3 linked regions of the Danio rerio genome follow. The protein of the gene in region 3 interacts with the protein of the main gene of each other region in a biochemical or structural test. Links are inferred from orthologs where the notes say so. Each region holds a gene or a part of one and is shown on either strand. Other genes may lie near its edges.

The links.
Region 1: the proteins of ube2s (region 3) and rnf7 form a complex in vitro, tested with the Homo sapiens proteins (3 studies listed by BioGRID). The link is inferred for Danio rerio from reciprocal best matches to the Homo sapiens genes UBE2S and RNF7.
Region 2: the proteins of ube2s (region 3) and anapc11 form a complex in vitro, tested with the Homo sapiens proteins (31 studies listed by BioGRID). The link is inferred for Danio rerio from reciprocal best matches to the Homo sapiens genes UBE2S and ANAPC11.

The regions. Positions count from the first base shown.
Region 1 is NC_133193.1:44,703,720-44,707,922, forward strand, and holds the start of rnf7 (RING-box protein 2), read right to left. Parts: upstream 2,835-4,203; 5' UTR 2,832-2,834; coding exon 2,657-2,831; intron 1,276-2,656; coding exon 1,228-1,275; intron 1-1,227. UniProt on the Homo sapiens protein: Catalytic component of multiple cullin-5-RING E3 ubiquitin-protein ligase complexes (ECS complexes), which mediate the ubiquitination and subsequent proteasomal degradation of target proteins.
Region 2 is NC_133181.1:24,269,222-24,273,514, forward strand, and holds the start of anapc11 (anaphase-promoting complex subunit 11), read right to left. Parts: upstream 2,824-4,293; 5' UTR 2,765-2,823; intron 1,746-2,764; 5' UTR 1,741-1,745; coding exon 1,632-1,740; intron 1-1,631. UniProt on the Homo sapiens protein: Together with the cullin protein ANAPC2, constitutes the catalytic component of the anaphase promoting complex/cyclosome (APC/C), a cell cycle-regulated E3 ubiquitin ligase that controls progression through mitosis and the G1 phase of the cell cycle.
Region 3 is NC_133191.1:14,031,432-14,035,762, reverse strand, and holds the start of ube2s (ubiquitin-conjugating enzyme E2 S), read left to right. Parts: upstream 1-1,518; 5' UTR 1,519-1,998; coding exon 1,999-2,001; intron 2,002-3,130; coding exon 3,131-3,278; intron 3,279-3,373; coding exon 3,374-3,564; intron 3,565-4,331. UniProt on the Homo sapiens protein: Accepts ubiquitin from the E1 complex and catalyzes its covalent attachment to other proteins. Catalyzes 'Lys-11'-linked polyubiquitination.

The sequences.
Region 1 (4,203 bases), on a different chromosome or scaffold from region 3:
CCGAACCCGACCGCTCCCGCTTATATTAAGAATTTATTGTCCCCCTGCCCGACCCGCCCCGTTTTCTGCCCGCCACACCCGATCCCGCTAAAGAGCGGGGGAGAACAAAACTGAAAATCCCCCAGCTATACAGTCCAGACAGCCAAGCTGTCTGTATAAACACACACAGCACCAAGCACACACACACAGACAAATCTCTCTCTCTCTCATACGCGCGCGTGCGCACTAACACACACACAAGCACCAAGCAGACACACAGGCGTTTGCTGTTATATCAACTCAAAGGCTTGTAATACCATGTATCAAGTACCAATGTAATACCAAAAGGTTTTATATAAAGATATATAAATACTGAGTCGCGCCAGCTCCGGGCCGCAGCGCACATTACTATCGGTCCGATTCCGGCAGGGATGCGGCAGCGTCGGTTTGCTTAAGGCTGCCGCATCTGGCCCGATTGATTCGGGCCGGAATCGGGCAGTGAGTCCACAAGCATCCGGAGTCCGGCAGCCAGAGCCGGGCTGAGTGGTAAGTCTCTGGCAGGCGAGAATCTAGCCGGAACTGGCCTGAGTGTATTTTGCTATCTGGGAAAGCTCTCTCTCTCTCTCTCTCATTCGCGCGCGCACTAACATACACACACACACAAGCACCAAGCACACACACAGGCAAAGCTCTCTCTCTCTCTCTCTCATTCACATAGCAATATCCGCGATATTGCTAGACAGCCCGCTCCCGTCCTAAATTAAACCTGTTACCGACCGCTCCCGCGACTTATTTGGAAATTTATTCCCGCGCCGCAGAAATCTGGTCGGGTCCTGTGGCGCCCGCGGGAATGCAGACCTCTATAACGAACCTTTTTCCAATACAATTGAGTCGAGCACTTCACTTGTTCAGAAAGCTTCATTTTACCATCACTAGTATGATGATGTACTTCCAACTGAAACAAAATATTAAGTAGGGGTTGGGGCTTTCTTTTTGCACATTATTTCCCCATAGCAAAGTAATTGTAAGAGGGGCATGGCTAATATTATTGTTTATGAGTGAAGCAGTTGAGCTGATGTCAACAGATAAAGGCTGGCACTCCAAGCATGAAAGCAAATGGTCAGAATTACCAAAAAAAATGTCCCCAGTGGATTAACATGCACTGATTAATCGTTCACCTAAAGATTAACTATGTGTGCGAGCACAATAAACATGGTACATTTTGATTTCACATGGGCTTTAACTTACCAACGCAGTCTTCTTGTTTGTTTTCGGCCTGACACCTCAAGCAGGCATCTGAAATGGAGTAAATCAGACATATTCAAAAACACCTGCTGGGATTTATATATTGTGCTAGAAGTAAACCAAAACTCAGATACAGTTGTAAATTAAAAAGAAAATACCAACGGAGAGTTTTCTTTCTTTGGTATTGTGATGTCTGTTTTATTGTGACGTCTGTTCATTCGCACAGTTTAAAGGCAGCTAGTGAAGCATTTGCCCAATATATGACAGTGGTCTGACTGCAGACTTGGTGCAGTTGCAAGCTGAGCTGCAACAGTGACGTCACTAGCTCCATTGAGTGCATTGTGTCTGATATTGCAAAGCTGAGACATGAAGTCTGCATCCAGATACTACTGGACTGGAATTTAAAAGGTCTGCCCAAACGTACACCAAACATGGTTTTATATTTGCACATTAGTTCATTTTTGAGAGTGACCTCTTCTGACCTGATCTCTATATTGTTTATTATGCTACTTTGATTGCTCAGTCTGAAATTACAAATGATATATAATATTATAAAAAATGATACATTAGTACTATTTAATTGACTGGCTGCTGTGCTTAACTATTTAAAATTGGCAAAGAACGCTTTCCTGAAATTATGGATAAAATCCAAATGTGCAAATATAAAACCAACTTTAACCCAATCACTTAAAGGCTGACAAATGCCATTTTGCAGGAGTGGGTTTTAGCGAACTAAATGTCAAGAGAGAAAAAAAAGAATGCCAGCAGAGGAAAGTCATTTTTCCTATAGGGTCAAATTTTGACATTTTGGTTAGTCTAGATATTACAAAGTCTTAATTGTTCATAATAAGATTTATACAGTTTTAACTTCACAGTTGCTTTTAAACAGGACAGACTTGCTGAGATCATATGAAATCACAGTCTGACTGTGCACATTTATTATAGTCTGAATATTTACACTGACTTGACCAAATAATGTGAACTGCCTACCTAATCTCCATTTTGCTGTAAACTGTTAAACTAATCATAAACTAATGTTTTTCCCCTTCACATGTATATTTGCATAATTTATACATTATTGAACATATCTTAGACGTCATATGGATTTGAATGTAAGTTTAATATTTACATATAATGTCCATTCTATGTTTCTATTCTCGTCTGTTTTGAAGCATTAATGCATTTGCTCGTCGCATTTAAACAGTATGTCATGCATTATATGCACTTTCCAATGTTCGAGTAAACATTTATGTCATCACTTTAGGTTTCAACAAATTCTGTCTCGGTAGACAGCAGTGTGTTATATTGCTGAAAACGACTCGGTCGTGTGTCAGGCAGATATTATCAAATTCATCAGCCTCCATTCTTGGTCTGTTTATCTGAGAATGATTAGAAATGCTATCGGCTAGCCGGTTAGCTAAAAAACACTCACCCATAACTTGAACGCGACAAATAGCGCAGGTGTCACACTCCACATCCCAGCTCCACATGGCCACCGCGTTCCACTTCTTCAGGGAAAACATTTTGTCTCCCCCTGATTTGGACCCAGAAGAACCGCTGTGAGAATGTCCTAAACCTGGCTCATCACCGTCGTCCATCTCCGCCATGGCGAAGAGGCGTAGAAACAAAATGGCTGAGATAGGCTGGTCTGCAGACACGCAGATCGGCCTCTAGCTGGAGTTGTCTGTTAACAGGCCCCTGGCTGGATGTTTTAAAATACTGCGATGTAGAACATTTTTAATAAACACTTTAATAAACATTTTTTTAATCAATTTATTTAATTTTTCATGCTAATAATTCCCTCATTCGAAATTTCTGTATGTATTTGATTGAAAATGTATCTTATATTTGAACTTTAACTATATTTAACTCATATAAACTTCTTTTCTTGAAACTATATCCAACTTATTTTTTAAAAAACGTGGAGAATTGCACATTTTGATCATATAAATACAAACTATGTTGGAAAAACTTCAGAACTTTTGTACAATTGTTATCTGTTGAATAAATTAGCCAATATGCTGTGATTCCCAATACAATAAAAATATTGTAGAAACAAACTTACCCACATGAAAAAAAAATACTAAAGTGATTTATAATAAATAATATAGTGCTTTTGAACCAAAGGCTACTATTTTAGGCCTATTAATATTTATACTATAGTATTCAAAACAACTCTGTTAGTTGAGCATAGCCGTATTAACTGATAATCTACTGTAAACATATGTAATATAATTTTTACTAAAGAAACGTTGATATATTGTAATATAATAGCCAGAGTTGTAAAAATGTAGTACTATTTGTTTATATTTATTAAATTGTATTTTCTAAATCTTTTAATCTTACAAAAAAATTTAAGTTTATATATTATGATTGGTATATATCATTAGTTCTTCTATTACCATATTATTATTTTACAGTAATAGCACATTTTATTTCATATATGTCAAAAACATGTATAGCCTATATTTTTTCATGTGGGTATATAAGTTGAGCTAATATATTCTTGCTTGGACTTAGAAATATGCAAAAATATAAGATTTATTTAGGCTATATATATATATATATATTTAAAAAAATTCAGTCAGCATTCAGAATGGCTAATTTCGGGTAAATCAATAAACGCAAATTCTGTCAATATACTATTTTTAAAGTTTAAATCAAGTTTGGGCCAGCTTAAAAAAAGAATAATAAATAACGATTAATGTATTTTTAAGTGTTAAATTGAGAGTGGCTAATAATTAATTAAGCAGCTTTTTTCAGTTACTTTTTGTCTATTTCCAAATCATCTAAAAAGAAAAAAAAATCATAAAAAATAATGACATTAGAATGAACAGATATTTAAAATAGAATAATAAAATAAAAAGCTAAGCATGTGACCCATGTCTGCTTTGCATTATATTGCATGTTTTGCAGTAAAGCACATTCACAATGCTGAATAGGCCTACGTTGACACTGAAATCATCATCATTCTTTCAG
Region 2 (4,293 bases), on a different chromosome or scaffold from region 3:
ACAGTAATTTCTAACTATACATGATCAAATTATTACTAAAAAGGCCAGTGACATTATAAGTTGATCTCTCTCTCTTTTATGTTTTAGTGCTGTATTTATTATACTATAATTATATTGTAGTGTATTGAGTGGGAGATGGGACTCGGATCAGTAATGTATATATTTTGTGTTGGCCACTCCTTGTATAACCCCAAGTAACTTTTTGGTTGGCCATTTGTTTGTTTCTAATGAGTCTCCTGTTTTCGTTACTGCAGACTGGTTCAGTAAAAAAAAAAAAAAAAGAAGAAATATATGCATTTTTTCCACTAATATACATACACATATATATATATATATATATATATATATATATATATATATATATATAGGGTGGGCCATTTACATGGATACACCTTAATAAAATGGGAATAGTTGGTAATATTAATGTCTTGTTTGTGGCACATAAGTATATGTGAGGGGGCCAACTTTTCAAGATGGGTGGTGACCATAGTGGCTACTTTAAAGTCGGCCATCTTTGTCCCAAATTTGTTTTTTCGATAGGAAAAGGATCATTGTCCCATCAAACTTGCTTGGTTTTAATATAACTATTCTTAAAAAATAAAGTTACATTAAAACCAGGCACACCATTGTTTTTCTCATGAAATTCCCAATATGTTTGATGCGTCAAATGACCTTTTTCCTATTGAAATAACAAAAGTTGGATCCAAGATGGCCGACTTAAAAATGCCCACTATGGTCACCACCTATCATGAAAAGTTTGCCCCTCACATATACTAATGTGCCACAAACAGGACATTAATATCACCAACCATTCCCATTTTATAAAGGTGTATCCATATAAATGGCCCACCCTCTTTGTGTGTGTGTGTGTGTGTGTGTGTGTGTGTGTGTGTGTGTGTGTGTGTGTGTGTGTGTGTGTGTGTATATATATATATATATATATATATTTTTTTTTTTTTTTTCTTTCCCCAGACACATAATAGTTTTATTAACTCATTTTTAACAACTGATTTCTTTTATCTTTGCCATGATTACAGTAAATGTTATTTTATTCAATATATATTTTTCAAGACACTTCTATACAGCTTAAAGTGACATTTAAAGGCTTGCTTAACTAGGTTAATTAGGTTAACTAAGCAGGATAGGGTAATAAGGCAAGTTATTGTATAATGAGGGTTTGTTCTGTAGACTAGTGCTGTCACACTGAAATCTCTAAAAATAATAAGTGCACTTTAATTGCCCGGATGATGCACTCATTCAAACGGTAAAATGAAGTGTTGAATGATGGACATGTCACGCACTCAACAACCACAACTTTTCTCACAGAGCGGAAGGAGGGGAGCTATCGGGCGCACATGTTGGATAACTTTGGGTCACCAAAAGTCATCACCAAAAGTTATCCCAAACAATTTTGGATGCAGCAACAGAATGGGTGACCATGCTTGGCCATGTGTCACTTCACTTTCATGTCATGTTACTTTCATGAACCAAAAATTTCTAAAACATGTTGCTATTGAAATTCCACTGGGAATGACACTGTTTTATGATAAACCTGCTTTTTATCGTAAAACTTAAAACACAAAGATGGCAGAGTATAGTATTTGTGGGTGATGTGTAATCAGGTTACCCACAGTCTGGGCAGCAACCATTGAAAGATGCCCGACAGATGCCGCAATTTTCATCATTGGCCACCCATAACCAGGATGCCACACCGTTCCACTGCTTTATTTTAACCTTCATTCCTTCTGTAACACACAAAAAAAACAATGCAGATTTATTTATTTACACATTTTTCAAAAGCAATAATCACTTCCATTTAGTAGTGTACCACATGTTATTACCATGCAAGGTCCTACAGATTTTAACCAGTGGTTTTCCACGTCATTTCTAGCTCTTAGTGAGGATTAGAAATTAACTGCAAAACATTTTATGGAGACTATAATCATGATTAAAAATATAAGTAGGATCCTTTACAGACTGAATGAATACAATGTTCATGTACCTGTTAGATCAGGGTTTCCCAAAATGCCAGTCACTCGCAACCCCCAGATTGATTGGAGGTGGTTATAAATATACTAGTGTTGCACATACAGCAATAGGCCTATATAAACACGAGCATATTGACAACAGAAAAAAGTGCAACAGTCTAACGACTATCATATTTAAAGTAATTTATTAGTTTGTTTAATTTGATATTAACCTCAACTAAAGAGATTGGAGGGCACAATGTTTTCAGCACAAGTCTATACTTGGTTTTATTTTATAGACCGCCACTCAGAGATGATTCCCAATATTCTGTTGTGGCCTGTATTTATTTTTAATGCAAGTTATTTTATTTCCATAAAGGTGTCAGAAAGTTTAACCTGATGCTTTAAAATTTGCTGCAGCTGACAATATTGCTGCAATCTAACATAAACACCAATCCTATGAAGAAATAATAATTAAAAGGCTGATGGCAACCAAGGGACTCCCACTTTGGGAAAAACAGTGTTAGATTATAATATTATATTAGATCTTTTTTTTTCCAATTTATATTTAGAAATACATTTCATCATAATGCCACATCAAACAAATGTAATTCCGTAATTATTACTCTTATTTTGTTAGAATAAATTACATATCAACCCTTACCAGCGCAGATATGAGTGAAAACACTGGTCTGTTAACGTGAACATAATACTAATCTAAATATGCTGCATTCCCCGTGCATGGCCGAGAGCAAATCGTTTTATGTGTACTAACAAACAGAAGTAAGATCACTTACTGTTACGTTCTCACATCCATAACATGTATGATGAGCAGTGAGCACAATGTAGCATTTATGCTCAGCTTTTCTTCACGCTCCCTTAAGCCAGCTGAAACCACAACATCGCCACCTACAGTGTTGGAGATGTAAATAGACATTTATCCTTAAATAATAAACAAAAAAATTAACAAGTTAATCTTTTTTTTTTAAAATTGTCGTTGTTTATTTTTTCTACACCTCTGTTTGAGTTCCAACGAAGAAGAAATGCCGTTAAAGCCCAAAAGGGATACAGCCTCGGATACTAACATATTCAGCTGTATCCCATCTAGACTTTACCCAACAACGAAAAAGACGGAAGTGTTTAGCTTCTCCTAGCAACAGAGATGCAAAGGGAAAGCCACTCGTGTGCTAAATTGTCATCAACAGAAATTAAATTAAAAGCATTAAATATTCTGATATACCGAATCTAAAGCGAAAAAAACGTTAATTATTTCCGCTAAAGGACTGTGAATTAAAAATTGCTATCTGAACGAAAACTTTGGGGTAAGTTACATCTTTAACTTATACGTTTAACGTATAGCTCTGCTAAGTTACATATGCCCAGTCTACAATTGAAAAAGGTGATTATAACAATTATAATTATTACTTATTTATTTTTGTCTTGTACAATTGTTTATGTTTGTTTGTGTCCTTGTTGTATTACGTTACTTAAACTACCAAGAAATGGAAGGTCGGCAAGAGGATCAGATGAACAGACAGGAAGAGGTAACGTTAACGTAAATCTTAGTAAATTTAAGAGAAACGAATTCACACATTAAACTTTCGTTGTAACCAGTTTGTGTGTGTGTGTGTGTGTGTGTGTGTGTGTGTGTGTGTGTGTGTTTGTTTTTATTACATGGTGGGGACCTCAGCATGATAGCACACTCACAAAGTGGGGACCAAAAACATAGTGGGGACCGATCGCCCGGTCCCCACTATGTTTTGCCTTTAAAAGACTCAGGGGGCGTTGCTGATATGCCTAGTGCAGTTTTTTTCACTGATCCCCACCTTGACCATTTACCTGAATTGAGTGTGTAAGTGTGTGTCGGCGCACTGCTCTATAGCGGTCCTGTAGTCGGATGGCGGTACTGCACCCTGACACACACTTGGCGCTATTCACACACTCTGCCTACTGCACATGCGCAGATCTCATAAATGAATCCGACTTTAATCAACTTAATTAAGATCTATCATCAAATTAATCGAATTTTTGGGTAAGTTATAATGTTTTTCACCATCATAATGTAATGACATCGGTTATATGACAAATACTTATGTTGCATATTTTGACAGTTATCAGGTATAGTTAATTAAATGTTTTAACGAATTTCCTGGGTGTTTTAATCGATGTTGTTTTAAATTACGTATTAATATAACACTGATAAGACACAAACTACAGTTCGGTATGTAATTTAACTTGTTTACACGAGTAAAAGTTACTCGCGCTAATGTGCTAACGTGCTAACTGCCCGGTGCTACACGAGTCAGAGGCCGGGGTGGAGTGCATG
Region 3 (4,331 bases):
TACAGTATGTAAGATTTTTGTTTTACTTTTTTGTTTTTGTTTTTTGTACAACAGTACCTCCAGCAGAAAAGATATCCAAAGATGCAATTTTAAATTGTATATAAATCTGTGATTTAATGAATTATTTAATCTGACATGTTTACTGTTCCAAAATATTTTAAATGTTTCTCAAAATAAAATATGTTTGTTCCAAATTTTATTTTATTTTTTTTAAACCAGACATTTAAAAAGAACATGTTTTGGAGCCACAATACCATGATATTTTGAAACCGTGCAACTATGCAGTGACATTTTAGGGTAGTTACTGTCCCTGAAAAAAATGTTTTATTTTCCAAGATTAAATTTCAGTCGAAGGAGAACTTATTAAACTATAAGAAAAATATACAGGTGCAGCTAAGGATATTACGGTTTATCATTTTTTACAGAATTTTCACATGTAACACAGGCTAAATGTCCCCATTACAGAAAATTCTCATATCTTTTAGAAGGTGTTTCAAATAAATAGTTTATGTAATATTTACATTTTCTAGGAGCTAAAATGTTTTTCACTTTACCAATAGTATAGTATAGCAATAGTATTTTTTAAAGGTATTACTAAACAAGAATTATCTCAAAAAAGACTTGTTATATGGCACTTTGTAAATGTAATGTATTTCGAGACTGCAATGCCATTAAATCCTGTTGGTTAGTTCTTTGGATGCAAGTAACCAAAAAACATTTGTAATGTGTATTGATTTTATTTATTACCATGAAAAAACTATATAGTTAGACAGGAGTAACAAGGTGGACATTATAATAAGTGCTACGCTTTGTTTTACTCTCTATTGTCAGCACTTTCAACTGTTTTAAAGTGTTTTATAAATGAAATTGAAATTAAATAAGAAATAAGGTAAATTGTTTGCCACACCCTCGTTCGATTATCAATAACAAAATGATGGCAACTGAATTATCAAAAAAAAAAAAAAAAAAAAAAAGCCAAATAAAAAACAAGGAATATTTGACATTTTATACAGAATGCAGGAAAAAAAATAAAAAAGTAAAAACAGTGAAATCATTACATGTTGTTAAAATATTACATAAAATAAAATAAAAATTATGTAGCTTTTTAATCATTAATTGTTGAGTGAGTAAAACTGTATTTTAAGGCAAATTAATCTTTAGTTTAACTCAATCTTTCAGAATTCTTCCATCGTGATCTGCACTAGAAGAAACCAATTACAGTAATAAAAAACCTCTAAAGTTTTTCTTATATTTCTTTCTGCGTCTTTCATTGGATGTCGATTTGAAGCCACACATCAGTCCCTGCCTCTGGGAGGGCAGGAGTTTTTCAAACGCACCTATTAGCAAACAGCATCTTTCGCATTCTCAACTTTCTCTGGTCGAAGTGGTTTCCAAGGCCAGCTACGTCAGCACAACCCGTGCTTCTGATTGGTCAAAACGCTTTAATTGTTGAGCACGTGAAGTCCTTCTCACATTCTGATTGGTTAAACGTATTTCGAACTGCTGCTTAGACGAATTGTATTTTTGTTCCGTGTCAAAGACTGCTAGCTGATAACAGGCTACAGTAGCCGTCAGCAGCAGCAGACTAGCTATCAAACAAATCAATTACCGCAGACGAAATTAACACCACGTTGGATTTAAAAAATCTTTACACGAGATATTTGATCTGAAGACAACGTCGCATTGAAGTTTCACAAAAGGCAGCTCTGGAGAATAGCTAGCTATCCCACAGTTAGCCTAGCCTGGTTTGATAGCAGCACTAGCAAGCCGACCGACATCACAGTGAAAATTGGTTTTGGTTATTTATATAATAGTCAGGCGTCTTGGAATACTTTGCTATCTTTGATTGGTTGCAACTTTTAGATTCGTTATCGTTTTGTTCCGTCAGTCCGGTTACAGATCACCGAATCCGTCAAATCGGCCGGTTGAGTGTCAGTTCTGCTAAGTTCTCCTTTGGGACAAATTTGCTGCCGATTAAAAAATCCAGCACGCCTAAAAATGGTAGGTTCAATTATGTATTGTTTACGAGTGATTCATCAAACTGATTACAACAACAACAACAAAACAGCTTTACTGTTTATTTGTCTTACTTTTTAGTCGTTCAGCTTGTTTTGAGAGACTCTTTACAGTAATGTGATTTAAACTCAAATATGCTTTGATTGTTAAATTGACAGTAATTATAAGCACTGTATTATGCAGCATTAATATTTTTTTACGAACGTTTGTTAACAAAAGGCTTTTTAACTTTTTCTCGCGTTAATGCATCACTAATGTCGAATTGTGTGGCATTTGTCATACTTTTTGTAATAAAGCATTATATTAAAGTAACTGGGTAATTATTACTTTATCCTAACTAAAAGTTCCGAAAAATATAATTTATTGTTAAGTGCTTGATTACCAGACGATACAAGCTCAGTATGATATACGTCGCACAATTGTTCCACTTTTTTTCTTCGTGTTTTTGCTTTTTAATTAAATAAATGTGTATTTTATTGTGGATAAATGAACGAAATTCCACCTATTTTTGTTGTTTGGTGAAGCAGATGTGCTAGGCTCTTGTTTTTTTCCATTATATTATTTATTTTGATTTATTACATTTGTTTATTTGTTTATTTTAATAGTAGTGATACTATCAAATAACTGCTTGCTTACTGTATGTGGTTTCAAATGAAATTATTACTCCATCATTATTGTTTTTATTACTATTACCATTAATAATAATAACTAATGTTAGCGTGATTTTTGAAGGATCATGTCACTCTGGAGACTAAAATAATAAAGCTGAAATTTCATCATTAAAATCACTAGAATAAATTATTAAATTATGAATTACTTTTGAACGGTTATTTTACAGTGCAATAACATTTCACAATTATGTAATTTGTTCTGTATTTTTGATTAAACAAATGCAGCCTTGGTGAGCCACATGAGCTTATTTTAAATCATTGAAAAATCCTACTGATCCCAAAATCTTCACCCGTAATGTATGTATTATGTATCAAGTTTATGAACTTGTATAGGCTAAAGTTTCTTAAAATTAATAATTTTGTATTATTTTCTAAATAAAAAGTTTTCCCCACCATTTTTTAAATTTTGCAATTTGTTACATTTGACATTTTATTGTGTGCAGAATTCAAATGTGGAGAACTTGCCGCCTCAAGTGTTGAGACTCGTCTATAAAGAAGTTTCAGCTTTAGCAGCAGATCCTCCTGAGGGGATCAAAATCTACCCCAGTGAAGAGGACATCACAGAGCTGCACACTTCCATTGAGGGCCCAGGCAAGTAGAGATTATCACAGTTTCCTCTTCTCAATGAAAGCCGTGATCTAATCATTGCACTTGCAACTTGTTTTCCCCCGTCTTCTGCTCAACAGAAGGAACTCCATATGCAGGTGGTGTGTTCCGGATGCGTTTGGTGCTTGGGAAGGACTTTCCTGCCGTTCCTCCCAGAGGCTATTTCCTCACAAAGATTTTCCATCCTAATGTTGGGCACAAGGGTGAGATCTGTGTCAATGTACTCAAGAGAGACTGGAAAGCAGAGCTGGGCTTGAGACATGTATTGTTGGTAAGTAATATTTTATTCTTTCTGAAGTTCTTTCAAACATTGACTAAATTTTTTTTCCCTTTTGTTTCATGGTCAGAAATTCCCTAAAACAGGGGTGTCCAAACTCAGTCCAGGCAGGTGTGTTTAGGGAAGGCCCTCCAGTACCGAGTTTGGACACCCCTGCCCTAAAATATAAGGTTCTGCAACATCTTAGATTTACCAGTTGAATTAATAAATCTAAACTGTAATTAAATATGTGCGTGTACATGGACATACAGTGCCCAGTATATGAGTACACCCCTCACAAATCTTTTTAATGTTTTCTATAGGATGCTTTACAATATTGTATTTGTACATATACATTTGATTATTCAGTACTGAAGCAAAATCTGGAGCTAATCTAAAAAAATAACTTAAGGTAGCAGTCCAAAAATTAGTAGCCCTAATCTATATGTTTAGGGAAAAATCTAAAATCAAAATTAAAGAATGAAGAAAATCAAAAGAAACAAAAAATATATATTTAATTAATATAATTAACAAATTGTAAATTGTGTAGTTTGTAATTTGTTTGTTTTTTCCAATATTTTGCATGAATTTAATGTGTTATCTTTCTATTTCTAAAGATGTTCAGTCACTAAAATATTATTTAATAAATATATACGTTTAATCAATCTGTTTTGCTGAAATGAAATCACTTTCAAAACCCCTTTTACTATCTTTCTGAATGAAATGCCTACTTTACTACATCCATTCAGCTTGCAGCAGAAAAAACAAGCCATGCCCACTGT